Linked DNA regions of Callithrix jacchus. The protein of the gene in region 1 purifies or fractionates together with the protein of each later gene. This does not show direct contact. Links are inferred from orthologs where the notes say so. Each region holds a gene or a part of one and is shown on either strand. Other genes may lie near its edges.

Region 1 (6,018 bases):
CCTCAGCCTCCGGAGTAGCTGGGACTGCAGACATGCACCACTAAGTCTGGCTAAAAATATATATTTATATATTATATAGATATAATTTATGTTGTTAAAAATACACATGTATATTAAAATATAGAGAAGCAAAGATTATATATCCTTTGTATAATAGTTTTATACACTCATTGAGTTGGAAGGGATAAATATAGGAAAATGTTTTTTAAATATAATCCGTATTTATCTTCCAAAAAATAATTTGGTTAATTATTTAACTGTAATTATGTGTGACATTTATGTATTTAAACTATCAAAAGCAAAATGTATTTTTGATATGGTGTATAAAAATGGAAGCAATATTGTTTGCATTAGTATTAATGTATTCTCTTTTTGGGCTGCAGGAAGAAGTTCATAGATATGTACACATGATGGGCGGACGAGTATACAGAGACCTTAACATATCAGTAACTCACCTTATTGCAGGAGAAGTTGGTAGCAAAAAATATTTAGTTGCTGCAAACCTGAAGAAACCTATTTTGCTTCCCTCTTGGATAAAAACACTTTGGGAGAAGTCACAAGAGAAGTAAGACATTTTTATATTTTCTAGATTTGAAAAAATGATGCATTCAATCATTTTTGGCATGCGATATACTCTTTGGATTTATTATTTAGGGAAAAAAATAGTGTCATTACTCTTCTTCTCCAGCGAAAACAGAAGAGCAGAATTTGCATGCTCTCATTACCAAGATAAAAGTTGACAGGCATTATAGAATGGGCTAAGGGGTTAGCAGTAGTTACAGAGTAAAAAATGCTTTGATGATAAAGTTCCCAGCTGTAAATGTTTCTGAAATAATAGAGAAAACCAGTTTGGCAAATCTTTAGCTTTTATGTTGTATCATCCTTCAACACCATTCCCATATATAAAGATAGAGAATAAATTAGCCATGTTGGCAGTTACATTCCTTCCCAAAGGGGGCATATGTAAGGTTTAATATAAACGTATATAAGTCATCAGCTGAGATGTGATCATTTAATCAGTGTTAACTGAGCCTGTTTTATGTATCTGACCTGAGCTAGGCATTAGATACATGTAGTAAGCAAAGCAAGGTAACGTCCCTTCCCTCATGGAGCTTAGAGCCTATTTCAAGGGGCACACTTAAATTTCCCCTGAAACTAGATAAACAACCACAAGACCAAATACCACGGAATTCTATTGGCATACGAATTGTATCAGCATTTTTCTGGGCTTGTTTTCAACACCATCCAGCAAATCCTAAATGTCTCCATGTCAGCAACTCTCATTCCCAGTGTGATTACTTCAGCACATCTGCCTAGCATGGCAACAGAATAATGACATTTTTGTTGGTATTTTGCCAAAAGTCATTGCTTTTATTTATACAGAATAATGGAAAGATTAAAAAGTTTATTTTTCTAATAGGCAACCAAAGTAACTTTGGGTTTTTAAATAGAGATTCAGATGTAGAATTTTGGAAAATATACCACTTTAACCAGCAAGGGCTTAGAGTTAAGAAAATGTATATTTTTCTCTTAAAACAGTTTTGAGAGACTGTATCTGAAATAATTACTTTGTATTAAAACCTGTTATTGAGCTAGGTGAGCAATTGGTGTTACTCTGTTTGGTGGTTCTCCTTTTTAAAAAAATGGTTATAAATCCTAAAAAAATGAGGAAAACAGTAGTGATATTTGTGATGTTGTCATTATTCTTCTAGTAAATTTAAAACTATGGTAAATGTATTCTTTTTATCCATTTGATTCCCACAGAAAAATAAGTAGATATACTGATATAAACATGGAAGATTTCAAGTGTCCTATTTTTCTTGGTTGCATAATCTGTGTGACTGGTTTAAGTGGCTTAGACCGGAAGGAAGTTCAGCAACTCACAGTTAAGCATGGAGGTCAATACATGGGACAACTGAAAATGAATGAATGTACACACCTCATTGTGCAAGAACCAAAAGGTAAAACTGTGTTTCACAAATGGACACATGAAACATTTTCTCTGTGAGTTAGTATTTTATTTTTAAAAATAGATCCTTGCTCTATTGCCCAGGCTGGAGGACAGTGGTGCAATCTCGGCTCACTGCAACCTCCGCCTCCCAGGTTCAAGCAATTCTCCCACCTCAGCCTTCCAAGTAGCTGGGGTTACAGATACCTGCCACCACACCTGGCTAATTTTTGTATTTTTAGTGGAGATGGGGTTTCACCTGTTGGCTAGGCTGGTCTCTAACTGACCTCAAGTGATCCACCTGCCTCAGCCACCCAAAGTGCTGGGATTACAGGCATGAGCCACCGTGCCCAGCCATTAGTATTTAATATTTTAAAATCTTACAGAACAGCTTTTACTTCTGACATGTCATTAATCTAGTTTGATACCGTTTTACCTAACATCTTGCAGAAGTCGTTTGGGTCACAATCTTAAACTATATGACTTTTCTCGTATTTATTCGTGTCATTTAATAAGTACTAAAAAAACCAAAACCTTTTAGTGATGTTTTATGTAAGCTTACTTTGGTATCTTTTGATTTAAAAAAAATATTCCTCACACAGTTACCAAATAATGAAAAGAAGTTTGGGTAAATAACAAGAAAACTAATAAATATAGCTAAATGGCATTTCTTTGTAATGACGAAAGGCTTGACTTAGTTTCAGTTTGACTGAATGGGCTACAAGTTATAACTGGAAGACACGCCTTGGAGAACATGAGGCAGTAAATGAAAAAGACATTACCAACCAAGAAAAATTCTTTAAAATTGTTTTTAAATTTGGTGTTCCATAACATTATTCTGGATAACTTTTTATCAGCACTCTTAAAATACACGCAAATTGATAAAAGATGAATTTTGTTAATGTTTTTGTTATTGCTATATATATGTGTACTGTGTTTTACTAAGTTTTCTAGACTGAGAAGTAATTAAGGTTAAATGGTAATTGTCCTTAAGTCAGAAGTTTGGGTATGGCCAATTGTGATAGGATGATTGTGAGTAGAGTTGATACAGCTGTTCTTTTTCTGAATCTGAAGACAGTTCACTGTTGATTATCAAGAATGCCAGAAAACCTTTCATGTGACATACAGACTTCAGTTTCTCTGTGATACTGCTTCAAAATACATTGTGTTAAAGGTTTTTAAGGTAATAAAAAGATACATATTTTTAACATAATTTATCTATTGGCTTATCTATCCTGGACTTTAAGTAGAAGCCTGTTGACATTGGAATCCCAGTGTTCAAAATTGGGATTTATTATATTACACACATTTACAATTTTCACATTATACAAGCTTGTTTAAAGGAATTAAGTGATGGAGCCTAAATGCAAACCAAAGTCCAATATTGTTACCCCACAGTTGCTCCTGTCTTCCTGCAGTTTGTATAAGAGATAAACCCCCTCACATGGCATGTGTATTTATACAACACATAGAAAATTTAATTAGGCAATAAACTAAAGTACTACTTTGCAATAAACTATGTAGCATACTGTTTAAGAGTAAGTACTGGTAACTTCAATTTGGTTGATAGGTTTTTAAAATAACCTGTTACGGCTGGGAGCCAGGAGCTGTTGCTTATGCCTGTAATCCTAGCACTTTGGGAGGCTGAGGCCGGCAGATCACAAGGTCGAGTTTGAGACTAGCCTGGCCAACATGCTGAAACCCTGTCTGTACTAAAAGTATTTAAAAATTAGCTGGGAGTGGTGACACATGCCTGTAATCCCAACTACTCAGGAGGCTGAGGCAGGAGAATCGCTTGAATCCAGGAGGCAGAAGTTGCAGTGAGCTGAGATTGTGCCACTGCACTCCAGCCTGGACAACAGAGCAAGACTCTGTCTCAAAAACAAACAAAAATTAAAATTAAGTAACCTGTTATAATCTGAATACTTCTGCAAAGATAGATTTTAATGATTTTCATTTCTCTATTTCCTCTCTTTGTTTCTTAATGAACACTGCAGGTCAGAAATATGAATGTGCCAAGAGATGGAATGTACACTGTGTGACCACGCAGTGGTTTTTTGACAGTGTTGAAAAAGGTTTTTGTCAGGATGAATCCATGTACAAGACAGAACCAAGACCAGAAGCAAAGACTATGCCCAATTCTTCAACTCCTACTGGCCAGATCAACACAATTGATAGTGAGTCTCATTGAAATTAAAATCATCATTCTAAAGACAATCGTTTCTGTATAATAATCAGTATATTAATAGGATCACTGAGATAGGGAATTTTTCTTTCTTGTTTGCTATGCTTCTAAACCTAATTGTATAGTAGTCAAATTGTATAAAAAGTTAGTACTGAACTGCTCCTAATTTTTTTTAGAATGAATAATTGCTTTCTTTTATACCCTGATGTCATGCAAAAGATGATCAAATAAATTAAGAACAATAGTAGATAGAGGCTTAAGATAAAATTTATGGACATGCATATATTAATACTTATATATATAATTTTATATATAATTTATATATTAATATTGATATAATTAATGTATATTAAATATATAATATTAATATATTTCCTTAGTTTATGATTTTGCTGCAATTGTTATAAATCATCTGTATTTGTATAAAAATTAAAACAGTTTCTATTTTGTAGGTGTCGTTTTGGCACAATGTTAAAAGTCTTTTCAAATGTGAGCTTCTTGGACCTTAAAGTCAGCAAATTCAGATTTTTATGGGAAACAAGACACTATTAAGAAAATGTGTCTTGTTTTCATTTAAATAAGATATGAGGCCTAATTAATTTCATTTTTCCTTTTTATACTTTTCCACTAAGATTTTAGTAAACATACCTGCATCTTACTTTGGAAGTTGTTTATTGCCCTTTATTTGTAAGAAAAGTTAATTCATAGACAATATGTAATTACGATTATTTTATCTCCCATAAATTTATACATGTTTTCAAAATATGTAGGTCGTACTCTTTCAGATGTCAGCAATATTTCCAACATAAATGCAAGTTGCATAAGTGAGTCGATATGTAATTCACTTAACAGCAAACTGGAGGCTACCCTTGAAAATCTGGAAAATCTGGATGTGAGTGCATTTCACGCACCTGAAGATTTATTAGATGGTTGTCGGGTACGTCCTTATTATATAATACATGTAGTAAGTGATGATATACATTAGCATTTCCTAACCCGACTCCGAAGAATCTTCAGAGTTGGGCTTGCTCCTTACTATCTATGTAAACCCTCCTCTCTAGCTAAGTAGATGCACTTACTAGACATATCCTCCTTTGGCTGTGAGAGTTGCTCTGTGAGTCATCTTCCTCTGTTATCTTTTAGAAGTTTATTTCAGTTTTTAATTATTCTCTGAACACTCCTAACTACATTAATCTTTCCATCTATTATGTTTTGAGAGCACTTAGTTTCTGAATGACTTACTGGATTTATTTATTTATTTGAAATAGGGTCTCACTCTGTCGCCCAGGCTGGAATGCAGTGGCACAATCATAGCTGACTATAACCTTAAACTCCTGGGCATCAGCCATCTCTCAGTCTCCCAAGCAGTTAGGACTACAGGCATGTGCCACCACACCTGGCTAATTTTTAAATTTTTTTGTATAGACAAGGTCTTACTGTGTTTCCCAGGTTTGGACTTTTATTAATAACTATCATTTAAGTATTTACAGTGTATTAGACACCATCCTAATAATTTTATGTATGTTAATATGTTATATATAATCTCATTTAATTCCCACAAATAACTCTGAAGTGGATATTATCTTGAGGGTAAGACTCAGTTAAAATTCTTGTTCAGAGTCACACAGAGAGACACATTAAGTAGCCAGTCATCTACCTCAAAGTTCATATTCCTCACCATTAGAGCCACTGCTTTGTTTGGTATTTTGTGGGTTATTTTAATTTTTTAGTATGTGAATAACTGTCTTGTAAGTTTATTGATGGAAACATCATATGCTGTGCTTTTTCAGCTGTCTTAGATTGGAATTCTTAACGTATTCCTATTTGTAGAATGACTTGGCTCTGCATTCGTTTTCAGAGTAGCAAAAATGTAACCCTACCTTAT
Region 2 (6,018 bases), on another chromosome or scaffold:
TCCCAGCACTTTGGGAGACCGAGGCAGATGGATTAGGTCAAGAGATAGAGACCATCCTGGTCAACATGGTGAAACCCCATCTCTACTAAAAATGCAAAAATTAGCCGGGCATGATGGTGTGTGCCTGTAATCCCAGCTACTCGGGAGGCTGAAGCAGGAGAATTGCTTGAACCCAGGAGGCGGAGATTGCAGTGAGTCAAGATGGCGTCATTGCACTTCAGCCTGGCTAACAAGAGCAAAACTCCGTTTCAAAAAGAAAAAAGAGTGGTAAAGAGCTAATTTTAGAAATTGTTTATTTTTAATAGAGATGAGGTCTTGTTGTGTTGCTCAGGCTGGATTCAAACTCCTAGGCTCAAGTGGTCCTCCTGCCTTAGCCTCCCGAGTAGCTGGGATTATAGGCATGAGTCACCACATCTGGCTAAACTTTCTTTTTTAGGCGGTATTGTTCATAGAGACTGGTGAATCTGACATTTTGATGGGGGTGGAGGGTTGTCAAAACACAAGTAATGTTGATGGCTCATGCTTGTAATCTCAGCACTTTTGGAGGCCAAGGCAGACCGATTGCTTGAGGCCAGGAGTTTGAGACTGGCCTGGCCAAGATGGTGAAACCCTGTCTCTACTAAAAATGTAAACATTAAAAAAAAATAAAAATAAGAAATATATATATAAATTTATCTGGGCGGGGTGGTGCCTGCTTGTTGTCTCAGTTACTCTCTCGAGGCTGAGGCATGAGAATCGCTTGAACCCAGGAGGCAGAGGTTGCAGTGAGCTGAGATTTTGCCACTGTACTCCAGCTTGGACAACAGAAGTCCCAAAAAAACAAAACCAAAAACAAATCCACAAGTAATACCAAACTCTACTTCTAATTAATGTGAAAAATTAAGACAAAGGTAAAGAGTTTAACAGACTTTTTGGTAGAATGTGTTTTTAATGTTGCAAGGATCAGCCTCAATTTATGAAACAGTCCTTAATCCTTATATTTTTTAGTCTTAATAAGATAGTTGTTATCCTTCCAATCTAAATGATTTCACATCCAATAAATTCAAATGTATAGTTTGGTAGAAGGTAGAAGTGTAACATACCATGTGAGATGAATTTGGGGGCTCAAAATGATTGGTTCATTCTTGTAATAACAATCAGCCATGTCATAATGGTATGTTGATCTAGCAAACCTAAAAGCGGTCTGTATAAAAGTGTTCACATAAAATTTAAATCCCTATTGCTCTCAGAATAATTTCTTTCTCATATATATTCTCATACTGCCTGTTTTTCCTCTAGTGAAGAATCAGGAGAGAGAGATTTCAGTTGCATCAGATGTGTCCATTCATAAGTGAGAGAAAGAGCAGAGGAAACAGTATCAAATCCCTAGCCAGAGAATTGAATTCGACCCCACATCAGCAGTCAAGGCAGCCAGAGTAAAAGTTGGAAAAAATATGGAATCAAGCTCTTCAATTTTGTGTTTATCTCATATCTGGTGTCTTTAGCAGTTAACTCAGTCTTACCTAATTAGCTGTAAAACTGTTAAAGTAGAATAGAAGACAATTTGCAATGAAATGAAACATGAAAATTTAATATACAAGTCTCTTTGATCTTGAGTTGCTCTTTTTTTTTTTGAGATGGAGTCTTGCTCTGTTGCTAGGCTAGGCTGGTGTGCGGTGGCGCTGTCTCAGCTCACTGCAGTCTCCACCTCTGGGTTCAAGTGATTCTCCTCCCTCAGCCACCCAGGAGCTGGGATTACAGGTGCACGCCAAGACATCCAGCTAACTTTTTTTTTTTTTTTTGGTATTTTTAGTAGAGATGGGGTTTCACCATGTTGGCCTCGATCTCCTGACCTCATGACTCGCCCTGCCTCAGCCTCCCAAAGTGCTGGGATTACAGGTGTGAGCCACTGTGCCCGGCCTTGAGTTGCTTTTCTTAAAGTTAATTCAAAGGCACTCTGTTTAAAAGCTTTTTATTTTTTAGAGATCGATGTCCAGCTCAGGCTAAAGTGCAGTGGTGCAGTTACAGCTTACTGCAGCCTTGAACTCCTGGGTGCAAGGAATCCTCCCACTTCAGTTTCCTGAATAGTTAGGACTACAGGTGCACACCACGCTTGGCTAGTTTTTAAAATTTTTTGTTGAAACGGGACTCACTTTGTTGCCCAGGCTGGTCACAAACTCCTGGCCTCAAGTGATCCTTCATCTTCAGCCTCTCAGAGCATTAGGATTACAGACATGAGCTGCCACACCTGGTTCTTAAAAGCTTTTGTTTCAAAAGCTTTCTGTGGGATAGTATGGTGTGTTGCAAAGATACTTTTTTAAAAAGTGAAACAGTTTTATAATAATGTAGAATAAATTTCTATGTCTTTTCACCTTATTTATTTATTTGAGATGGAGTTTCACTCTTGTTGCCCAAGCTGGAGTGCAGTGGCATGATCTTGGCTCACTGCAACTTCCGCCTCCTGGGTTCAAGTGATTCTCCTGCCTCAGCATCCCAAGCAGCTGGGATTACAGGCATGTGCCACCATGCCCAGCTAATTTTGTATTTTTTGTAGAGACGGGGTTTCACCATGTTAGTCAGGCTGGTCTTGAACTCCTGACCTCAGATGATCTGCCTGCCTTGGCCTCCCAAAGTGCTGGGATTACAGGCGTGAGCCACCACGCCTGGCTTGCCTTCTTTATGTCAGGAACTACTAAGAACTCTTCTGTGCACTTATTAACTCATTTAATCTTCAACGACAGTCTTGTGGAAAGTACTATTAATATCCTCATTCTACAGACACGGAAATTGAGATTCAGAATAGGAAAGTCTGGGAAGATAGCTCAGGTAACTAGCTGACAGGAGCAGAACCTGAATGTTTTATAAAAGACACAACTGCTTATCTGCTTGCTTGATGAAATGTAATGGCTTGCTTAATGAAATGTAATGGCTTGCTTAAGTATTAGTGTAAGGGTCTTTTTTGGGAATTAGGAGCTCAAGCCCTTGTATCTGTTGTGGCTTTATTAGCTTACTTCCTCCTTCCTTTTTCTAACTCTTATTTTTCACCCTGTTTTAGGTTCTATACCCCATGAAGTGCCTCAGATATTAATTAATAGAGAACCTTTGCCTCATCTGCATTTTGATGTAGAGCTTCTTGGAGACTGTGATGTCATAATTAATGAATTGTGTCATAGGTTAGGTGGTGAATATGCCAAACTTTGCTGTAATCCTGTAAAGCTTTCAGAAATTACTGAAAAACCTCCACGAACACAAAAAGAGTTGGCTTATTTGTCAGAGTTGCCACCCACACCTCTTCATATTTCAGAAGACTCAAGTTCACCAGAAAGAACTTCACCACCAGATTCTTCAGTGATTGTCACACTTTTAGACCAAGCAACTAACAGTAATGTTGATGATTTAGACGTGTCTGAATCAAAAGGTTGTATGGAAGAAAAACCACAAGAAGTACAGACTTCTAGGAATGTTGAAAGTATTTCTGAACAGATGGAAAATCCGGATTTGAAGAATGTCGGTTCCAGTACTGGGGAGAAAAATGAAAGAACTTCAGTGGCTGGAACAGTGAGAAAGTGCTGGCCTAGTAGAGTGGCAAAGGAGCAGATTAGTAAGCGGCTTGATGGTAAGAAGGCAATCAACCATTTTGAAAGTATACTTGTCATAACAATATTTGCAAAAAATTAGTTATTTCAGCAGGTTAATTGATAGAGTAGCTTTATGTAGTTGATTCTGTTTGGAGAAACTGTACAGTTCATAATCAGAAAGGTAAATCTGGTATCTTACATAATATGGAGAAGGAAGTGTTTAATAGTGCTCTGTATGTTGTGTTTCTCTAGGGCATGGAAAGATAAATCAAGAATGGGTTGGTATTGAGTGCTGTGCAGTTGTCTGCTGAGAGCTTTAGCTGGCAGAAATGATGACAGATTTGAGTGCTTAGTGTGGGTCAGCTACTTTACATACGTTATGTGCTTTTAATCCTTTGAGGTAGGAACTATTAACTTTCTTCTGCAGGTGGGAAAACTGAGGACCATAGAGGTTAAATAACTTGTGCACGACTATTAAGAAGTGGAAGAGCCAGATTAAAATCTGGTCTACTTATGCTCAGAGCCTGCCCTCTTAACTACTGTGCAGTGTTGTCTCAGATCTAGAACACATCTTTGTTTTCTCTGAGGAAGTCCTAGGAGAAACCACCTTTGATTCTTCTCCACTGAATATAGGAATAGTTTCTACCTGTTTTGAACATGCATAGTCTTTATCAATAAGTGTTAATCGACATAGGTGAAATCACTTTCTACTCTTTGAAAGCTGATGTTTAAGTCCAAGTAGTCTGTGGTGGAAATTCCTGACTTAAGCTTTTTCTTTTATTTAACATTTGTAAACTTAACATTTCTTGACACTTACTGTTAAAAATATATATACACACACTGTAACTTAGATGTGTAAAAGTTTAATTTAGAAGAACTTACTCCATTTACCATACTTGGTGGAAACTGACAAATTTTAGACAAATGTATTAAGTATTCCAGTTATTTGCTGTAAATTTAGTTCAGTTGAACCTTTGGCCTTTTCCATATTAGGCACTGTGGTAAGTTCTGGAGACAGTGATTAATGTTGTGTATAATTATAAATGTGGGTGATAAATATTCATTAATACTTTGATATAGGTGCTGCTGAAGAACAAAGTACTTTATTATTATTTTGAAAATAGCATCGCCCAAAAGGTAGAAGTAGCGATTTAAAAAGATGATACAAAAAGCATAGAGGGATATGCTTATGTTTGCAAATCGTGGCAGAATGGAAAAATTGCTGCTGACTTAGGTAGTATACAGTCTCTACCATATACAAAGTCTACTTATGCACTGAAGACTTGCATCAGGAACTTGTCTTTTTTTTTATTTTCACTTTTTAAAAATAGCTTTATTGAGGTATAATTTATATACCATACAGTTTACCCACTGAAGGTTTATAATTCAATGACTTTTAGTATATTCACAGAGTCATGCATCATAATCAATTGTAGAATATTTTCATTACCCCCAAAAGAAATTTCATTCCTCTTAGCTGCCACCTGCAATTCCTTCCTCTCTTCTCTCCCACAGTCTCCCCTGCCTTAGGCAATCACTGATCCACTTCCTATCGCTATGATTTGCCTATTCTGGACTTTTTATATAAATAGAATAATATTTTCATTTTCTTCATAAACTCCTACAACCTGAAATGTAAAACTTCATGTCTTTTTTTTTTTAATTGCATTTTAGGTTTTAGGGTACATGTGAAGAACATGCAAGATTGTTGCATAGGTACACACATGGCAGTGTGATTTGCTGCCTTCCTCCTCATCACCTATATCTGGCATTTCTCCCCATGCTATCTCTCCCCAACTCCCCACTTCCCGCTGTCCCTCCCCTATTTCCCCCTGACAGACCCCAGTGTGTGATGCTCCCCTGCCTGTGTCCATGTGTTCTCATTGTTCAGTACCCACCTATGAGTGAGAAACACACGGTGTTAGATTTTCTGTTCTTATGTCAGTTTGCTGAGAATGATGGTCTCCAGGTTCATCCATGTCCCTACAGAGGACAAAAACTCATCGTTTTTTATGGCTGCTAGTGTTCCATGGTGTATATGTGCAACATTTTCCCTGTCCAGTCTATCATTGATGGGCATTTGGATTGGTTCCAGGTCTTTGCTATTGTAAACTGTGCTGCAGTGAACATTCGTGTGCATGTGTCCTTATAGTAGAACAATTTATAATCCTTTGGATATATACCCAGAAATGGGATTGCAGGGTCAAATGGAATTTCTATTTCTAGGTCTTTGAGGAATTGCCACACTGTCTTCCACAATGGTTGGACTAATTTACACTCCCACCAGCAGTGTAAAAGTGTTCCTATTTCTCCACATCCTCTCCAGCATCTGTTGTCTCCAGATTTTTTAATGATCGCCATTCTAATTGGCGTGAAATGGTATCTCAGTGTAGTTTTGATTTGCATTTCTCTAACGACCAGTGATGATGAGCATTTTTTCATATGTTTGTTGGCCTCATGT
Region 3 (6,018 bases), on another chromosome or scaffold:
TGTTGCCCAGGCTGGTCTTAAAACTCCTGGACTCAAGCGATCCTCCTACCTCCGCCTCCCAGTGTTGGGATTACAGGCATGAGCTGCTATGCCAGGCCTTTAAAAATATTTCTAACACTTTTACATGGTTCATTGAAAAAAATTTCCTTTTTTTTTTAGAGATAGGGTCTGGCTCTGTCCCCCAGGCTAGAGTGCAGTGGTGTGATCTCGACTCACTGCAACTTCTGCTTCCCAGGCTCAAGCCATCCTCCCATCTCAGCCTCTCAAGTAGCTGGGACTACAGGCATGTGCCACCATGCCCGGCTAATTTTTTGTATTTTTAGTAGAGATAGGGTTTTGCCACATTGCCCAGGCTGTTCTTGAACTCCTGAGCTCAAGTAATCTGCCCGCCTCAGCCTCCCAACATGCCGGGATTACAGGTGTGAGCCACTGCGCCCAGCCAGCATGAAAATTTTCAAGTACACGTATAGAGCATAATGTAATAGATCCCCTCATACTTACTAGATTCAGTAATTAGTTATCAGGATTTTGTCAAGTTTGCTTCATTTATTTATTTTTGTCCTTTGAAGTCTTTTTTAAAGTTAACCTTGGCTCTCTGCCATTTTACACCTATATAAACTTCAGAATGCTTCTCTTAAAAAAGATGAACGTTCTCTTAAAAATCAAAAAACCGCATGCCATTGCTTAGGTTGTCATTGCTTCTAGGTCTCTTCAGAGAACAGAATTAGGAACTGCATTTATAGCAGTGGGGGAAGACTGACATTGAGTCTGTGATGATATTTCCTAATCACACATTTTTAAACAATTTATTCTGATATTTTTGCAAGCTTATGAAAAAGGTAGCATAGATCAAAAATGCACTCCTATTCTCCCCTTTTGCCCAGATTCACCAGTTAGCACTTTTTTCCACATTTGTTTTATCAATTACTCTCTTTTTTTCTGAACATCGAAAAGTTATATATGTCCTACACTTCACCCTTAGTGCTTCAGTGTATGCTTCCTAAAAACAGATTCTTTTACCTAAGGATAGTACATGGCACAGTTCCCAAGTTCAGGAAATTTAACATTGATACATATGTCTTATAGCCGATCTTCTCTACTGGGAAGTTACTGCTTTTGGTAACTTTTAAGTGTCTGATTTAGACACGATGTTAATCTGTTTTTACTTCTTTGGTTTATACTTGCATTTCTTTTCTCTTAAACTGAAAATCTTGTTTCCTTATACATTAATATACTTAAAATTTTCAACATCTATGAATTCCTGTTAAATGGTATTTATTTTCTTGCAATCCTAATTGTCCTTAAAGTATATTTCACTAAGGATATATAGTTTTAAAAAGTCACTTAAAATACTTTTTTTTCTCTATGGATATATCACCCATTTGATGTACAACTTAAGTTCATTTTTCAGTTTTCAATTTTTAGGTATTGGTTTTTCTTAAACTTCATTTTGGAATTATTTTAGGCTTATATAGAAAAGTTGCAACAACAAAAAGATCCCCAGAGTTTCCATATACCTTTCAGAAATTATTACAGTGGAATTTTTTTTTGAGATGGTTCTTAGAACTTGCTGTCACCCAGGCTGGAATGCAGTGGCTCAATCATAAGTCACTTCAGCCTCAACATCCTGGGCTCAAACAGTCCTCCTGCCTCAGCTTCCAGAGTAACTAGGACTATAGGTATGGGTCACTATACCCAGCTAATTTAAATTTTTTTTTTCTTTGGGAGGCCAAGGTGGACAGATTGCCTAAGCTCAGGAGTTCGAGATCAGCCTGAACAACATGGCAAAACCCTGCTTCTACTAATAATACAAAAAATTATCCAGGTGTGGAGGTGCACGCCTGTAATCTCAGCTACTTTGGGAGGCTGAGGCACAAGAATCACTTGAACCTGGGAGGTGGAGGTTGCAGTGTGCCAAGATCTCACCAGTGCACTCCAGCCTGCACGACAGAGCAAGACTGTCTCAAAAAAAAAAAAAAAAAAAAAATTTTTTTTTTGTGGAGACATGATCTCACTATGTTGACCAGGCTTGTCTCAAACTCCTGCCCTCAAGTGATCCTCCCTCGCCTCCCAAAGTGTTGGGATTACAGGTGTGAGCCACTGTGCCCTACCTACAGTGATATTCTAATGGCAATTTTTCTTTTCCTTAGTTTTTCTACATTTAATAATTGGAATTCTTCTGTAAGGAAGTGCTATTCCTTCTCTCCCATTGATTTATTTGGTTATGTCTGAAATAGACTCATGGATATTTTATTCTTTGGGCTATATTTTAAAGGATTACTTATTTCTCTCTTTTTTAAAAATTTATTTGAAACAGAGTCTTGCTCTGTCGTGCAGGCTGAAGCGCAGTGGCACAATTGTACCTCACTGTAGCTTTGACCTGAGTAGCTAGGACTTTAAGCGTGTGCCACTACATCTGACTAATTTTTAAACTTTTTGTAGAGATGAAGTCTCGCTCTGTTGCCCACGCTGGTCTTGAACTCCTGAGCTCAAGTGATCCTCCTGCCTCAGCCTCCTACTTTTTTTCTTTCAGTTTTAATTTTTCATATAGCACTTTTAAAACTTAAGGAAATTTCCAAACTTACCCAAAGGTAGAACTGTATGATGAATCCCATGTTTCATCTATTTTTACTAATTATCACCATTTGGCCAGACTTGTTTTATTTATTCCACCCTCCTGCCTTTTTTTAACTGGAATTTTGGAAATTATTTATTTATTTGAGATAGTTTTGCCTTGTTGCCCAGGCTTGAGTGCAGTAGCAAGATCATGGCTCACTGCAGCCTCAACCTCCTGTGTTCAAGTGATTCTCCCATCTCAGCTTCCCAAGTAGCTGGGACTTACAGGTATTGTGCCACCATGTCCAGTAGTTTCTGTATGTTTCGTAGAGACAGGGTTTCGCCATGTTGCTTCGGCTGGTCTCAAGCTCCTGAGCTCAAACAGTCTACCTGCCTCAGCTTCTTATTGTGCTGGGATTACAGGTGTGAGCCAACTGCCCCGGGCTTGCTGGAGTGTTTAAAGCAAATCCCTAATATCTTATTATTTCACCCCTAAGTCCCTATGATGGCATAGTGTTTTGGTTTTTTTTTTGAACAGCTCCTTGCTATATCATGGCATAGTTTTTAATTGAAAACTTCTTTAGGAAACATTTTACATTATACAAGGAGAACTAGCAAATGTTGATAGGGGAATAAACAAATAAGGAAAAAGGCAATAAAAATAATCTGTGCTTCTACTGCCCAGATATAACCAGTGTTAAAATTTCATGTATCTTTTCATGCGTTTTTTGATTATAAACATATAAAGCAAATTTTAGAGTAGAAAAAAATCTCTTGTGTTTTTATTTAAATGCCTATTGAATCCATCCTGCGGGTGAACTGAGACTACTCAGCCCTCCCATCTGCTTAGATGTGGAAGACGCTTTTAAGTCTTTGCTTGAAGCTGGGCAGCTCTGAGTTGCTGGTGGCTTCAAGCTGTTTGTCTGGGTGGCAGGTGGTATCCTCCAGGGCCACGCCGTTGGGTCACAGGCTAGAGCATCTGAAGATCTGTTGCCTCACAGTTAGCACGTGTGCCTGTCACCTGAGCATGGCAGCTCCTGCTCTATTGACCAGGCACTGACTCAGTTTCCCCTAAGCAGTGGTAGCTAAGATTTTTCTTTCAGAAAAGTTTCAGCTGTGGCAGGGAGTCCTGTGCCCTTCCCAACGCCCCTGTTTTTGTTACCCTCCTAGGCTTGGAGAACCCCCTGCCTGAGCGTCCCCGGGAAAAAGAGGAACCAGTGGTTCGAGAGACGGGTGAGGTGGTCGACTGCCACCTCAGTGATATGCTGCAGCAGCTGCATAGTGTCAATGCCTCAAAGCCCTCAGACCGTGGGCTGGTCAGGCAAGGTGGGTACTGTGGGCCCTGTGTAGGGCAGGATTGCTTGGGGCATCTGGAGAAGGCAGGAATCTTGGCCAGCAAAGCACTGGTGACTTATCCAGGCCCTGTCTCCATAGGACCATTGGTTTCCCCATTTCCTGACATCCAAGGTCCTGCATGCTGTGGCTCCTGCCTTCTTTTCTGATCCGTCTCTTACTTTAGCACCTTGATATGCCACCTTCATATGCTGTTTCTTTTGCTCAGTAAGTTCCTATTGTTTCTTCAAGACACTTGAAATAACAGGCCCAGATGGGCTGCAACCTCAGGGCTTTCACACCTATGGCTCCCTGGCCCTGTCATGAAAGCAGACACTAGCTTTCATGGCTCACACTGTGGCCTCCTTCAAGTGTCTGCTCCAGTGTCACCACTGTGAGCATCTCCCTGGCCTATCTGCTAGTGCTTCTCATCCTCTTGCCCGCTGCATAGTTCTCCATAATACTTCTCACCCAACATAGTCCAACATATCCATCTTTATTTATTGGATTTTAAATAAGGGATTTGTTGCATGCACTGAACATAATATTTTGATGTGTTTGCAACTGGCTTCTGTCTTCACAGTTTCTTAATTATTCCAAACTGGAAAACTAGATAATATCGTCCTCTGACTCTTACCATAATAGAAGTCACTGACATTTTGCCCATACTTAATTTGATTAGTCTTTGTCCCTACAGCCACAGTGTAAGCTCTGTGGAGGCTGGGGTTTTGTCTGTTGCTCACTGTACATGTGACAGTGCCTGGCAGGCATAGTAGGCCTTCAATAAATGAATCAGTCAGTGGAATGAAGGAATGAGTGGAACTTGTCGTTCTGTGCTGAGATTTTCTGTGTAGATGTCTGTGCTGCTGCTTGTCTAAGCCTGTTAGCAGTAGAGGCCCTGCTTTGCTCTTCTCTGGGACCCCAGGCCTCTCAACTCAGCCCAGGTGGAGTGCTCAGCAAGATTCCCTGTTCCCTGGTGTGGGCCACATGTGTGAACCAGAGGGGAAGAGGCTGGTCCTGACCAATTGTTTGTCTGTTTCTGTCTCAGAGGAGGCTGAGGATCCTGCCTGTATCCCCATCTTCTGGGTCAGCAAGTGGGTGGACTATTCGGACAAGTACGGCCTTGGTAGGTTTCTACTAGAACAGGTGGGTGACTCAGGTACAGCCAGGTGACCTTTCAGTTGTTACAGACTCTGGCTTTTTTGGGCTCCCAAGTTCTCTTCTTAGTGCTCTCTTCTCTCCATCCCAGGCCTCCCAGTTCCAGCTCCCAGTGCTCCCTGACTCCCCTACTTTTTTTTTTTTTTCCAGAGACAGGGTCCTGCTCTATCGCCCAGGCTGGAGTGCAGTGACGCAATCATGGCTTACTATAGCCCTCAAACTCCCAGGCTAGCTCCTGGCTTAGCCTCCTGGGTAGCTGGGACTACAGGCGCACACCACCGCACTCCACTAATTTTTAGAATTTTCTGTAGTGATGGGATCTCATTATGTTGCCCAGGCTGGTGGTCTCAAACTCCTGGGTTCAAGCAATCCTCCCACCTCAGCCTCCAAAAGTGCTGGAATCACAGGCATGTGCCGCCTCACCTGGCCCCACTCCCCACTTTCAATTCCCTCTTTCTGAGGCCTCTCTCCACCAATCTCTAGGGTATCAGCTGTGTGATAACAGTGTGGGGGTGCTTTTCAATGACTCAACACGCCTTATTCTCTACAACGATGGTGACAGCCTGCAGTATATAGAGCGTGATGGCACTGAGTCCTACCTCACCGTGAGTTCCCATCCCAACTCTTTGATGAAGAAGGTGAGTGCCATCCTGCCCAGGGGGCGTGGTGTTGTGGGAGTGGGACTTGTGCTAGAGGGTCAGACTCTAATTCTAGAACCCCTCCCCTACTTTTCATCCAGATCACCCTCCTTAAATATTTCCGCAATTACATGAGTGAGCACTTGCTGAAGGCAGGTGCCAACATCACGCCACGTGAAGGTGATGAGCTTGCCCGGCTGCCCTACCTGCGGACCTGGTTCCGCACCCGCAGTGCCATCATCCTGCACCTCAGCAACGGCAGCGTGCAGATCAACTTCTTTCAGGTGAGCTGGAGGTCACCAGAGGCTGGGGTAGGCTCCGTGTGCCTGGCAGT
Region 4 (6,018 bases), on another chromosome or scaffold:
GGCCCAGATATCACAGAGCAAAAAAAGATGTCATCCTTGCTGGGCTCTGCCCAAATTCCTAATCTACAGAATCCACGAGCATAAGGAAAAGGTTGTTTTAAGATGCTAAGTTCTAGAGTAATTTGTTAAACATAAGTAGGAACCAAAACAGTTAAGTCCAGTTATTATCCTCATTTTACAAAGGCACATAGAGGTTAAGTCACTTGCCTGAGGTCACAAAGCTGTTATAGCAGATACAAAATTTGAACCCCATGACCTGAGCCAGGATATCATAGCACCTGTAGATTACAGGTGATTATGGTTATTTTTACAGAGTAATCTCATCTTTGCTGGGATCCAGCTCTAACATTCCATCTTCAAAAGTAAAAATGATTCTTGACCCCATGTCTCCTTTTCTTTATAGCAGAACTCTTTGAAAAGATTTTTTATAACTTATTGTCTCTAAACCTCTTTGAATGTGTACCCCTAATTAATAAAAATATTTTTCTTTTTTTTTAAGAGATGAGGACCTGCTCTGTTGTCCAGGCTAGAGTACAGTGATGTAATCATGGCTCACTGCAGCCTCAACCAACTTCTTAGGCACAAGGTATCCTTCCACTCAAGCCTCCTAAAATAGCTGGGCCTATAGGACTGTGCCACCATGCCTGGCTAATTTTTATTTTTTTTTGGAGAGGCAGTGTCTTGCTAGGTTGTCCAGTCTGGTAAAAATAGTTTTCTTTTTTTTTTGAGATGGAGTATTGCTCTGTCGCCCAGGCTGGAGTACAGTGGCGCAATCTCGGCTCACTGCAATCTCTGACTCCTGGGTTCAAGTGATTCTCCTGTCTTAGCCTCTTGAGAAGCTGGGATTACAGGCACGTGCTACTGTGCCTGGCTCATTTTTATATTTTTAGTGGAGACCAATTTCACCATGTTGGCCATGGTTGGCCAGGATGGTCTTGAACTCCTGACCTCAGATGATCCAGCTGCCTTGGCCTCCAAAAGTGCTGGGATTACAGGTGTGAGCCACCACGCCAGGCTGGTAAAAATATTTCTAAGAATATACTTCTAATATACACATACTTAGTTATCAGTCAAGTACAGGTTTTAATCATATAAAAAGTACTTTTCTCAAAAATGCTTAATGTTATTACAATCAAGGCTCTAGACCTAATTTACAGATTACAGAAAATGCAGGGATAGAGAAGCAAGTTAAAGTACTCCATGAAGAAACAAGTAGTAAGTATTAGAAAAGAGGACCGGCTTCCAATATCATTAAAAACATTCAAAAGAAAAAAAAAGAGGTAAGGTGCTGCTCTAGGTTAAGATAGGAAAAAGAAATAGCTAAATGTGTCAACCTTAACTGGAGGATAGTTCAGAAATAAAAATAGCTGCAAAATATATTTTGAGAACAATTAAAGAGACCTGAATATGGGCGGAATATTACATATTATGACATTATTCATCTCTTATGTATGACAATGGCATTGTATTTATGAGGAAGAATGTCCTTATTCTTAGGAGCTGCTTATGAAAGAATGTGTAGAATATCATAGTTTCTGGCTGGGTGAGGTGGCGCATGCCTATAATCCCAGCTACGCGGGAGGCTGAGGCAGGAGAATTGCTGGGACCCAGAATAGAGGTTGCAGGGAGCCAAGATCATGCCACTGTACTCCAGCCTCAGCGAGAGTGAGACACCATCTCAAAAAAAAGTAAAATTAAAAATAAGAAAGAATATCATTCTAAAAAAAAAAAAGAAAAAGAAAAAAAATTCAGATGAGAATTCTTAAAAAAAAAAAAAAAGAGTATCATAGTTTCTGCAACTTATTCTCAAATGATACAGAAAAAAGAATACGTAGAGAGAAAGCAAATGTGGCAAATGTGAAAAACTTTGTTTTTTTTTTGAGACAGGGTCTTTTCCTGTTGCCCAGGCTGCTTAAATTTCTGGGCTTAATTAATACTCCTGCCGCAAATAAAAAGTTGTTGGGAAATTATGTGTATTATATCCCATTAATATTATGTTAAATTTACAAACAGATTCTAAATTAATGTATTAACTGTGTAAATAGAAGCGCTGATATTTTCTTTTGAAGATAACCTACCCTCTCCTTGTTGCCAAACCCGCTGGTCTGTTTTCATCTGCTTGTTTCTTTGGCACTGCCGGCCGAACCTGCCTTGAAACTTTCCTTCTCACCTCAGAGCCACAGTGTCTATGGATGCTCTGCCCAAGAATCCTCCTGGCTCCATCCCCTGCCCATTCATGTTTGGTTCCCTAATTGTGCTCATTTGCATCATCAGTATCTGTCTCCCCAGCTGGGAAGTTTTGCAAAGGCAGGACTTTGCTCTCATCCCTGTACCCTGGGGTCTAACTGGTACCTGGTACATAGTAAGTGCTGAAAAAATATTTGCTTATTAGTCAGAGTGGAAAATTCCAAGAATTATCTGTAGAACATCAATGTTTCCATGGAAAATCCCATTAGATATTGACATTTGGGAACAAATGAAATGCAGCTCATCAATAGTTAAAAGAATGCTATAAAAAAAGCATTCAGAGAACAAAAAAGACCTCCCATAAATCAAAGATTAGAAGATAAAGACTGGGCGAGGTGTAGTGGCGTGTGCTTATAGTCTTAGCTACTTGGGAGGCTGAAGTGGGAAGATCGAGTGAGCCCATTAGTTTGAGGCCAGCCTGGGCAACATAGAGAGACCCTGTATGGAAAAAAATAAAAATAAAAAAATAAAGACCAAAAAATAGAACAAAGAGCTGGGCAAGAGGTAAGAAAATCCTACAGTGGGTCCAAGAAGTTCCCTATGAGACACCAAACCTAGTGAAAGGGGTGACAAAGGTGAGAAAGAAGAGAGCAGCATGCCTCACTTTGAAGGGGACTGCCCCTTTGCCAAATGGAGAACGTCCTGAATGTCTCAAATATGGCTCAAAAAGGCTTCCCGAAAGCACATTACTGGGAAATGTCAGGCTGAGGATGAAGGGTAGACCCTAGAACATTCTGGGGGCAAATTCTAGGTCACACACCAATGATCAGGAGCCAGAGGGCATCTTCAAAGGCATCACATGGCCCTCCGTGTTATAGGAACAACCACCTCCCGCCTGTCATTTTACATCTAGCAGAAGCTGTAGCGTTGGGTAGGCAACTGACCCCTGCCTCAGATCACTAAGCAGCTCAGACCCAAGGTCCACATGGTAAAAACTACTCCTATCATCACATACAGGATGCCTCCCCTGGAGTAATTGTCTGGGACTGGGTCTGGCCAAAGGATGCAGACCCACATTGCTCCTCTGCAGTGACTGCAGTGAGTGATGCTAGAAGACAGTAGAAAAGGAAGGGAGGGGTTGTACTATTAATTGTTTCTCTACATCATTTTTTTTGCTATTTAGCTGCAGAGCTGAGCTGTCCTAAATTTCATTTCATCTGAGAGCATCCTATTGAACAGATAAGCCACTCCTGCCTGAGGCCACACAGCCAGGGGACAGCAGAGCCCAGGGTCAGCATCCATGCCTGCTAACTTCTCCAATTCTCGCTGCCCTCAGTTACACCTGGGCCTGGCAGGCTTCAGGATGACCTCTGACTTCTGGAAGTGTATGTTCCTCCAGGATGCTGGAAGAGACCCAAACACACCTCTTCTAACCGTGTGCGCTTCTCAGAAGGCTCTGACCCATCACTGTCACTTCCTGAATCCTCTTCATCCCTGAAGATGTCGTCATAGGCAGGAACTTCAAGGTCATCATCTTGTTTAATGAGTAATTTGATCTGAGTTCAAAACAAACAGGAATTAAGTCTCTCCTCTTTCTACGGAAAACTATACAATATGTTCTTTTGCAGAATCTTATTTCCTAATAAGCTGACTCAGTTTCCTGTACATACAAATAGCTACCTATTTAACAAGAGTTCCAGATTTCTTAGGAATTTTCTTGTTTTCGTTACCAGTGAGGCACCAGAGTTACACCATATGTGGTATGCAGAAATTATGAAAATCTGAAAACAGTTCTTTGAAAACCGTCTAGTCTATATAAGTCTGGAAACACAGCATCCTCTTATGCCATACAGCAATAAAATGAATACCCCACAAGTTGGCCTCTGATAAAGGACATGAATATGTATAACCCATAAGTCAATAAAACTCTTACCTAAAACTAATTCCAGGCTGATTTTTCTTTATTTTTTTTCTTTCAAGACTGACTCTTGCTCTGTCACCCAGGCTGGAGTGTAGTGGCACAATCTCAGCTCACTGCAGCCTCTGCCTCCCGTGTTCAAGTGATTCTCCTGCCTTAGTCTCCCAAATAGCTAGGATTACAAGTGTATGCCACCACACCCAGCTAATTTTTCTACTTTTAGTAAAAATGGGTTACGCCATGTTGGCCAGGCTGGTCTCAAACTCCCACTCAAGTGATCTGCCTGCCTTGGCCTCCCAAAGTGCTGGGATTACAGGTGTGAGTAACCGCACCTGGCCTCCAGGCTGATTTTTCTGGGAGAGGTTCCTGATATAAGAATTTGGGAGCCCAACACCCTGTGGGTGGGAGATCAAGTCAGAGAATGCTTAGGTATACCTTCAAACGGTATGCTTGCTGCTCAAGGGTTCAAAGAGTAAGCACAGTAGAGCCATTCTAGGTTACAGGGTTCTGGTCCCATACCTCCCAAGTCAAGTCAATTCCACAAATGCATTCTGAGCAACTCCAAGGGCTAGGTGCCACATCTCTTGTTAAAGATGAACAAAATCATGGTTGGACACAGTGGCTCATGCCTGTAATCCCAGTACTTTGGGAAGTCAAGGTGGGAGAATCTCTTAAGGCCAGGAGTGCAAGGCCAGCCTGACCACACAGCAAGATTGAATTTCTCTCTTTCTCTTTTTTTTTGAGACAGAGTTTTGCTCTGTTGCCCAGGCTGGAGTGCAGTGGTGCAATCTCAGCTCACTACAACCTCCACCTCCTGGGTTTGAGCAATTCTCTTGCCTCAGTTTCCCGAGTAGCCTGGATTACAGGCGCATACCACTATGCCCGGCTAATTTTTTGTATTTTTAGTACAGATAGGGTTTTGCCATTTGGTCAGGCTGGTCTTGAACTCCCGACCTCAAGTGATCCACCTGTCTCAGCCTCCCAAAGTGCTGGGATTACGGGCGTGAGCAACTGTTCCTGACCAAGACTCCATTTCAAAAAAAAATAAAAACAAATTTTTGCTGGGTGTGGTGACATGTGCCTGTCGTCCCACCTACTAAGGAGGCTGAGGCAGAAGGATCACTTGAACCCAGGGGTTTGAGATGACAGTGAGCCATGATTGTGCCACTGTACTCCAGCCTATCTCTTAAAAAAAAGATGACAAAGACCAAGTACTTTGGTTCCCACTCCCATAGAGTAGTAATACATACACCTTACCAAGAACACCAGGTGAGACATTATAGATGGATAAAAGGTACAGACAGTTTGAGGGCAGATCACGAAAAGTACCTGGGTGTCGTTGTACACATTCACGACATTGACTGGCCTATGGGTGTCACACACAAAGAATACAGTGTCTTCATCAGGTTGAAGGATATCCAGTAGGTCTACATTAGCTCCGCAGTTTATGAGAATAAAGTAACGAAACTGAAAAAAAGGAAGATATTGTAAAGTAGCTGTACCAAGGAGGCCCCTTTCCCTTCATTGCACTAAGCCTCTGAGTTGTTCTGCTGAAACTCACTAAGTCCCTGATATGTGGTGAGGACCACATGGCAAGGGACTCCAAAAATGGCTAAGTGCTTTAGCATGGTGACACTGTGGCTCCCAACTTTCCCCAGGAGCACACTGAGACTCAGCAGGCCCAAATTTCATGGACAAGCTCAAGAAGCCCAAGAGGAGCAGACCAAGACTTTCAGAACATGGTTGTTTCTCTTCAGACCTCATAGTACAGTGCTGTGTGCCTCTCCAGGCTAATGACATTGTACAGGTTTAAGTTTTTAGCAAATACTTTATGGGTACTTAATTAAGTCCTTTATCACACTCTATCACTAGTATACCATGTTCTTTCCTTATAAATACCAAACTGGTATGGG
Region 5 (6,018 bases), about 8.3 Mb from region 1:
ATGTATAGGTTGACTGTGATCCTACTGGAGCTCTTTCAGCTGTTTAGAATAGAAATGGAGCAAGCAGAAGTTTTAACAGGTTCAAGAACTGGTCAAATACTGGAATCCTTCAGTAAAAGGTATCCAGTATAAGCCAATTGTATCTAGAACTTAACGAAAAGGAACATGTCCCAGAAACCATCTGCTATTTAACTGCTACAGAGTGAACTTTCCAAGTATTTCCAAAATTCTGGAAATATTAATATCACCCTACAGATAAAGATAATAGAGCAAGAAAAAGAAATTGAAGAACTAAAAAAGCAGTTAAACCTCCTTTTTCAAGACAAAAGGGTTAAGGTTGACATGAAGGATGGGGGCGTATGTGTCTAATCTTCCTCAGGCTGTATCAGTAGGATGAAAGTAGACTTAAACTCTTAAGGTAGTTACCTGGAATGTAAATTTTTAATCTTTATTAGGGTATAGTCAGTATAATTCTTAATTGTATTTAGTAAGCCTATACAAGACTTATTAAAGATGTAAGAGTGCCTGCCCCAAAATAATCCTCCATCTATTCTAACTTATTAAAAATAACCATCTGGGCCAGGTGCAGTGGCTTATGTTTATACTCTCAGCATTTTGGGAAGCCAAGGGGGCTAGATCACTTGAGTTCAGGGATTTAACACCAGTTTGGCCAACATGGTAAAAGCCCATCTTCACTAAAAATATAAGTAGCCAGCTGTGGTGGTACACGCTTGTAATCTCAGCTACTCGGGAGGCTAAGGCAGGAGAATTGCTTGAACCTGAGAGGCAGAAGTTGCAGTAAGCCAAGATCATGCTGCTGCACTGCAGCTTGAATGACAGAGCAAGACTCTGTCTCAAAAACAACAACAAAGCTATCTGCAAACTTTGCAGCTTCAACTAATATTAGTAAGAAGTGAATTGCTGCATTTGTTAAGATGGCTTGTGACACACTGGTATCATGGTATTAAAGCTCAGACCGGTTGTTCTGTTAAGTTCACGCAATTTATATTTGTTTTTCCTACTGTATCTCATAACTGTGAATTGTCTATGGTTAAACAAGTGTGCCATGAACTGTTTTATTATACAAATGTTAATAATGTTAACACTGTTGACAATAAAGAACACTTATAGCTTTGTGACACTAGAGAACTAGATTTCAGAGTAAGCAATAGTCATTAACAGTATTTCCAAGCAGTTCTCATGCACAGAGATGAGAACTATAGCTACATATCGAGTTCATTTGTAGAGATGAAGACTACAGCCCATATCAAGCTACATTTTCTACTAACCTTTTCGTTGACAACTTCTCCAGTTTCATTCAGTGATGCTTTGGAATGTCCTTTCACTGGTTTACTCCACTCCACAAGAGGATCATGCAGAAAAGTCTTTAAGACACTAAAATTGAAATAAATATTATGGTACAATGTTATCTTTACAAGAAAAAATCCTGCTAACATCAATATTTAAGTGGCGGATTAGGAGCTAATGGTAATACTCTTTTAATACACATTACTACCTTTTCACTAAGTTATGTGAAATTTCTGTTTTGGTGTGAGGGGAAGGAAGGCAGAATCCTTCCCTTGCATTGTCAAATGCAAGGGAACACTCTCTTCTCCCTTGCATTGTCAAAAAGATGAGAGAGAGGACAGTCAGAGGAGAACAGAGTAAGTTGAGTTCTGTGTGCCATCTCGAAGTGTATCTTGTGAACTGGTACATGACTATATATTGAATGAAGGAGTTTAATCCTTACCATGTCTTCAATAACCATATAACATCTATAGCTACCATACAGACCTAACCCAGACCTTTTTTTCTGTACTCTAAACATCAAATCCACTTACCTATGGGAAATACCCAGTTGGATATGTTCTGAGCACCTCAAACTCAGTATCTCCAAAATAAAATTCATTACCTTTTCCCAACTATTTCTCCTGTATTCCCCAAATCACTAAAGATCATCAGCATCTGCCCATTTGCCCTAGACAACAATCTAGGAATCATCCTTGTCCCCTCTTCCTATAACATCCAATTTCTCTTCCTAAATCTCTTTGGAATCTCTTCACTTACCTGTGTCTCTACTGCCATGACACTGTCCAGTATACCATTATCTTTTCCTGGGTTACGGCAATAAACCTCTAACTAGTTTTCCAGCTGTTAGCCCCAACTAGAACCCTAGTTTTTCCTACAGTACAAATCAGATTGTCTCATTTCACCCCCGCCCCGTTTTTTTTCCTTCTTAAAATCCTTCAATGACTTCTGGCCGCTCTCCAGGCAAAGTTATAATGTAATAACAGGCCCCACACAAGACCTTCATAATCTAGCCCCTGCTTACCTGTCCAGCATCATCTCTGAGCAACACCTCCTGGAAGTTAACCCTCTGGAATACATACTGTATTTCTCAGGCAGGCCATGACTTCACTTGCCTCAATATTTTTTATCACTTAGAACACTTTCTTCTCCCTTGCATGGTCAATTTTATTTACCTTTAAGGTCTCAACTACTTCCTCTATAAATTAGTTCTTTTCTAAAAATTTATTTAATTTAACTTAATTATTATTATACTTTAAGTTCAACTTCCCCAGACTAACACAGGGGCTCTTGGTAACTGTTCCACATGATGATATACTTCCTATTTCAGATAATTTGCTTTTGCCTATGTCCAACTAACCAGTACTCTATCATAATGTCCAATAGACAGCTTTTAAATAAAGAAGGTGAATAAATAAGCTTTAAAGTTTCTTTCAAGAAATCTGTTTCCCACAGTTAACATCATACTTAAAGGTCAAAGACTGACTGCTCTATGATCAGGAACAAGATGAAGATGTCCACTTTTAGCATGTCTATTCGACATTGATTTAGCTAGGGCAAGTAGGCAAAAAAAAGAAATAAAAGGCATTGATGGCAGAAAGGAAAAAGTAAAACCATATCTGCAGATGACATGTTGTTGCAGAGAGAAAATCTTAAGGAAGCCACAAAAATAATTATTAGAACTAATACATGAATTCAGCAGACTGCAAGATATGATATCAATATATAAATATCAGTTGTATAGCTATACACTAGCAATGAACAATCCAAAAATGAAATTAAGAAAATTCCATTTATAATAAAATCAAAAGGAATAAAATACTTAGGAATACAGTTTTTATAAGTTAAACATAAGACTTGGCCCTAAAAACCACAAAACATTTATGAAAAAAATAAAGAAGATGCAAATAAATTTAAAAAAAGTCCATGTTCATCGATCAGATAACTTAATATTGATTGTTAAGACAGCAATACTCCCTAATTGATTTACAAATTCAATGTAATTTCTATCAAAATCCAAGCTCATTTAAAAATTCATATGGAAATATAAGAGAACCATAATAGCTAAATGATCTTGGGGGGACAGGGAAGCAAAGTTGGAGCTTTGCAGTTTCAACTAATATTAGTAAGAAGTGAATTGCTGCATTTGTTAAAATGGAGTTACTCACACTTTCTGATTTCAAAATTTACTATAAACGTATAGTAAGCAAAACAGTATGTTGTTAGCATAGGTTAGGCATATAAGTCAATGGAATATTGCTGAAAATCAATTGACAATTTCAACAAAAAAGCCAAGATAATTAAATGAGGGGGAAAATATTCTTTTCAAAAAATGGTTCTAGGTCAAATGGATATGCACATGCAAAAGAATGAATATATACACCATATATACAAAATAACCGAAGACAGATAAAAGATCTAAATAGCAGAGCTAAAAGTTGAAAATCCTTAGAAGAACACATAGGTGCAAATCTTCATGACTTTGGATTAGGGAATAGTTTCTTAGCTATGACACCAGAAACACCAAAATAACCAGAATAAAAAGAAAAAAACAAAGAAAACCAAATTAGACTGCATCAAAATTTAAAACTTATGTTTCAAAGGCCATCATCAAAGAAAGTGAAGAGACCACCCACAGATGGAAGAAAATATTTGAAAATTATATCTAAGAAGGGTCTTATATCCAAAATGTGTAAGAAGCCTTGCAACTTGGCCAGGTGGGGTGGCTCACTCCTGTAATCCCAGCACTTTGGGAAGCTGAGGAGAGTGGATGGCTTGAACTCATGAGTTTGAGACCAGTCTGGGCAACATGGCGAAACCCTTTCTCTACTAAAAATACAAAAATTAGCCAGGTGTGGTGGTACATACCTGTAGTCCCAGCTATTGGAGAGGCTGAGGCAGGAGAATTGTTTGATCCCAGGAAGCAGAGGTTGCAGTGAGTGGAGATTGTGTTACTGCACTCCATCCTGGGCAACAAAGCGAGACTCTGTCTCAAAAAAAAAAAAAAAAAAACCCCAGAAAAAAAAAGAACTTTTGCAGCTTAAGAATAGGCCAGGCATGGTGGCTCATGCCTATAATCCCAGGACTTTGAGAGGCCAAGGTAGGTGGATCACTTGACGTCAGGAGTTGAAGAGACCAGACTGGCCAACATGGTAAAACCCAGTCTCTACTAAAAATGCAAGAATTAGCCAGACGTTGGTGGCACACACATTCCTGCTGTCCCCGCTGCTTAGGAAACTGAGGCATGAGAATCACTTGAATCCAGGAGGCATAGGTTGCAGTGAGCTGAGATTGCACCACTACACTCCAGCCTGGGTGACAGGTCAAGACCCTGTCTTAAAGAAAAAAAAAAGAGAATAAAAGACAACCCAATTTAAAAGTGGGCAAAGGATTTCCATAGACATTTGTCCAAAGATGATCTACAAATGGCCAAAAAGCACATGAAAAGCTGCTCACCATCATTGGTCATTAGGGAAATGCAAATTAAAACCACAATGAGATATAACTTGACACTCCTAGAATGGGTAAAATAAAAAAGGCAGACAATAACCAGTGTTGGAAAAGATGCAGAGAAATTGAAACCCACATGCATTACTATTGGTATTATAAAGTGTTATAACAGCTTTGGAAAATAATTTGAGAGTTCTTCAAAATCTTAAGTGTAGCATTTAACATAAGACCCAGCAATTCCACTCCCAAGTATATACAAGAGAACTGAAAACATATGTCCACATAAAACTTGTACACAATGTTCACAGCCATGCTATTTACAAGACAATACAAAAGGGGAAAACAATCCAAATGTCAATTAACTGATGAACAGTAAAAGAAAATGTAGTATATCCATATAACTGGATACCATTTGGCAATAAAAAATACAGTACTGATACATGTTGAACACCAAAAACATTACATTAAGTGAAACAAGACAGACATGAAAGGCCACATATGGCTGGGTGTGGTGGCTCATGCCTGTAATCCCAGCACTCTGGGAGGCCAAGGTGGGTGGATCACAAGGTCAGGAGTTCAAGACCAGCCTGGCCAAGATGGCGAAACCCCATCTCTACTAAAAATACAAAAATCTGCCAGGCATGGTGGTGGGTGCCTGTAATCCCAGCTACTTGGGAGGCTGAGGGAGAGAACGGTTTGAACCCGAGAGGTGGAGGTTGCAGTGAGCTGAGATTGTGCCACTGCCCTCCAGCCTGGGTGACCGAGTGAGACTCAGTCTCAAAAAAAAAAAAGCCACATATTAATGACTCCATTTATATGAAATGTCCAGAATAGGTAAATCCAGAGACAGAAAGTATTATACATGAGTGGTTACAAAGAGATAGCAGGGGTGGGAGGGGAAAGGGATTGGGAGTGACTACTAATGCCTATGGAATTTCTTTTTGAGTTGATGAAAATGTTTTAAAATTAGATAGTGGTAATGGTTGCAAAATCTTGTGAATATATTAAAAACCACTGAAGTATGTACTTTTAAAGGTGTGAATTTATGGTATGTAAACTATATCTGCATAAAGCTATTTAAGAAAACTATTTCAGTCAGTGCAAAGTGGTTCCTATGTAAAAACATACTGTTAAATTATTTACAAAGTATAGATGATTACCTCATTAAAGGCTCTCGCTGATCGCGCATCAGCCTCATTGTAACTTCACATGCTCTTCGAAAAAGACCCTCTGTTCCCATAGGACCCATTCCATTTACCA

Evidence for each region.
Region 2: the proteins of TOPBP1 (region 1) and SIRT1 purify together in Homo sapiens (affinity purification with western blotting; 3 studies listed by BioGRID, with this or other methods). This does not show direct contact. The link is inferred for Callithrix jacchus from reciprocal best matches to the Homo sapiens genes TOPBP1 and SIRT1.
Region 3: the proteins of TOPBP1 (region 1) and PLK1 purify together in Homo sapiens (affinity purification with mass spectrometry; 3 studies listed by BioGRID and IntAct, counting the BioPlex papers as one, with this or other methods). This does not show direct contact. The link is inferred for Callithrix jacchus from reciprocal best matches to the Homo sapiens genes TOPBP1 and PLK1.
Region 4: the proteins of TOPBP1 (region 1) and CDC45 purify together in Homo sapiens (affinity purification with western blotting; 3 studies listed by BioGRID and IntAct, with this or other methods). This does not show direct contact. The link is inferred for Callithrix jacchus from reciprocal best matches to the Homo sapiens genes TOPBP1 and CDC45.
Region 5: the proteins of TOPBP1 (region 1) and ATR purify together in Homo sapiens (affinity purification with western blotting; 8 studies listed by BioGRID). This does not show direct contact. The link is inferred for Callithrix jacchus from reciprocal best matches to the Homo sapiens genes TOPBP1 and ATR.

What each region holds. Positions count from the first base shown.
Region 1 is NC_133518.1:50,499,203-50,505,220, forward strand, and holds part of TOPBP1 (DNA topoisomerase 2-binding protein 1), read left to right. Parts: intron 1-383; coding exon 384-565; intron 566-1,764; coding exon 1,765-1,961; intron 1,962-3,945; coding exon 3,946-4,125; intron 4,126-4,903; coding exon 4,904-5,070; intron 5,071-6,018. UniProt on the Homo sapiens protein: Scaffold protein that acts as a key protein-protein adapter in DNA replication and DNA repair. Composed of multiple BRCT domains, which specifically recognize and bind phosphorylated proteins, bringing proteins together into functional combinations.
Region 2 is NC_133513.1:62,499,533-62,505,550, reverse strand, and holds part of SIRT1 (NAD-dependent protein deacetylase sirtuin-1), read left to right. Parts: intron 1-3,034; coding exon 3,035-3,595; intron 3,596-6,018. UniProt on the Homo sapiens protein: NAD-dependent protein deacetylase that links transcriptional regulation directly to intracellular energetics and participates in the coordination of several separated cellular functions such as cell cycle, response to DNA damage, metabolism, apoptosis and autophagy.
Region 3 is NC_133513.1:24,292,696-24,298,713, forward strand, and holds part of PLK1 (serine/threonine-protein kinase PLK1), read left to right. Parts: intron 1-3,726; coding exon 3,727-3,882; intron 3,883-4,936; coding exon 4,937-5,014; intron 5,015-5,529; coding exon 5,530-5,684; intron 5,685-5,785; coding exon 5,786-5,968; intron 5,969-6,018. UniProt on the Homo sapiens protein: Serine/threonine-protein kinase that performs several important functions throughout M phase of the cell cycle, including the regulation of centrosome maturation and spindle assembly, the removal of cohesins from chromosome arms, the inactivation of anaphase-promoting complex/cyclosome (APC/C) inhibitors, and the regulation of mitotic exit and cytokinesis.
Region 4 is NC_133502.1:211,173,392-211,179,409, reverse strand, and holds part of CDC45 (cell division control protein 45 homolog), read right to left. Parts: intron 5,573-6,018; coding exon 5,435-5,572; intron 3,744-5,434; coding exon 3,612-3,743; intron 1-3,611. UniProt on the Homo sapiens protein: Required for initiation of chromosomal DNA replication. Core component of CDC45-MCM-GINS (CMG) helicase, the molecular machine that unwinds template DNA during replication, and around which the replisome is built.
Region 5 is NC_133518.1:42,150,624-42,156,641, reverse strand, and holds part of ATR (serine/threonine-protein kinase ATR), read right to left. Parts: coding exon 5,919-6,018; intron 4,824-5,918; coding exon of another isoform or gene 4,682-4,823; exon of another isoform or gene 4,574-4,681; intron 1,396-4,573; coding exon 1,290-1,395; intron 1-1,289. UniProt on the Homo sapiens protein: Serine/threonine protein kinase which activates checkpoint signaling upon genotoxic stresses such as ionizing radiation (IR), ultraviolet light (UV), or DNA replication stalling, thereby acting as a DNA damage sensor.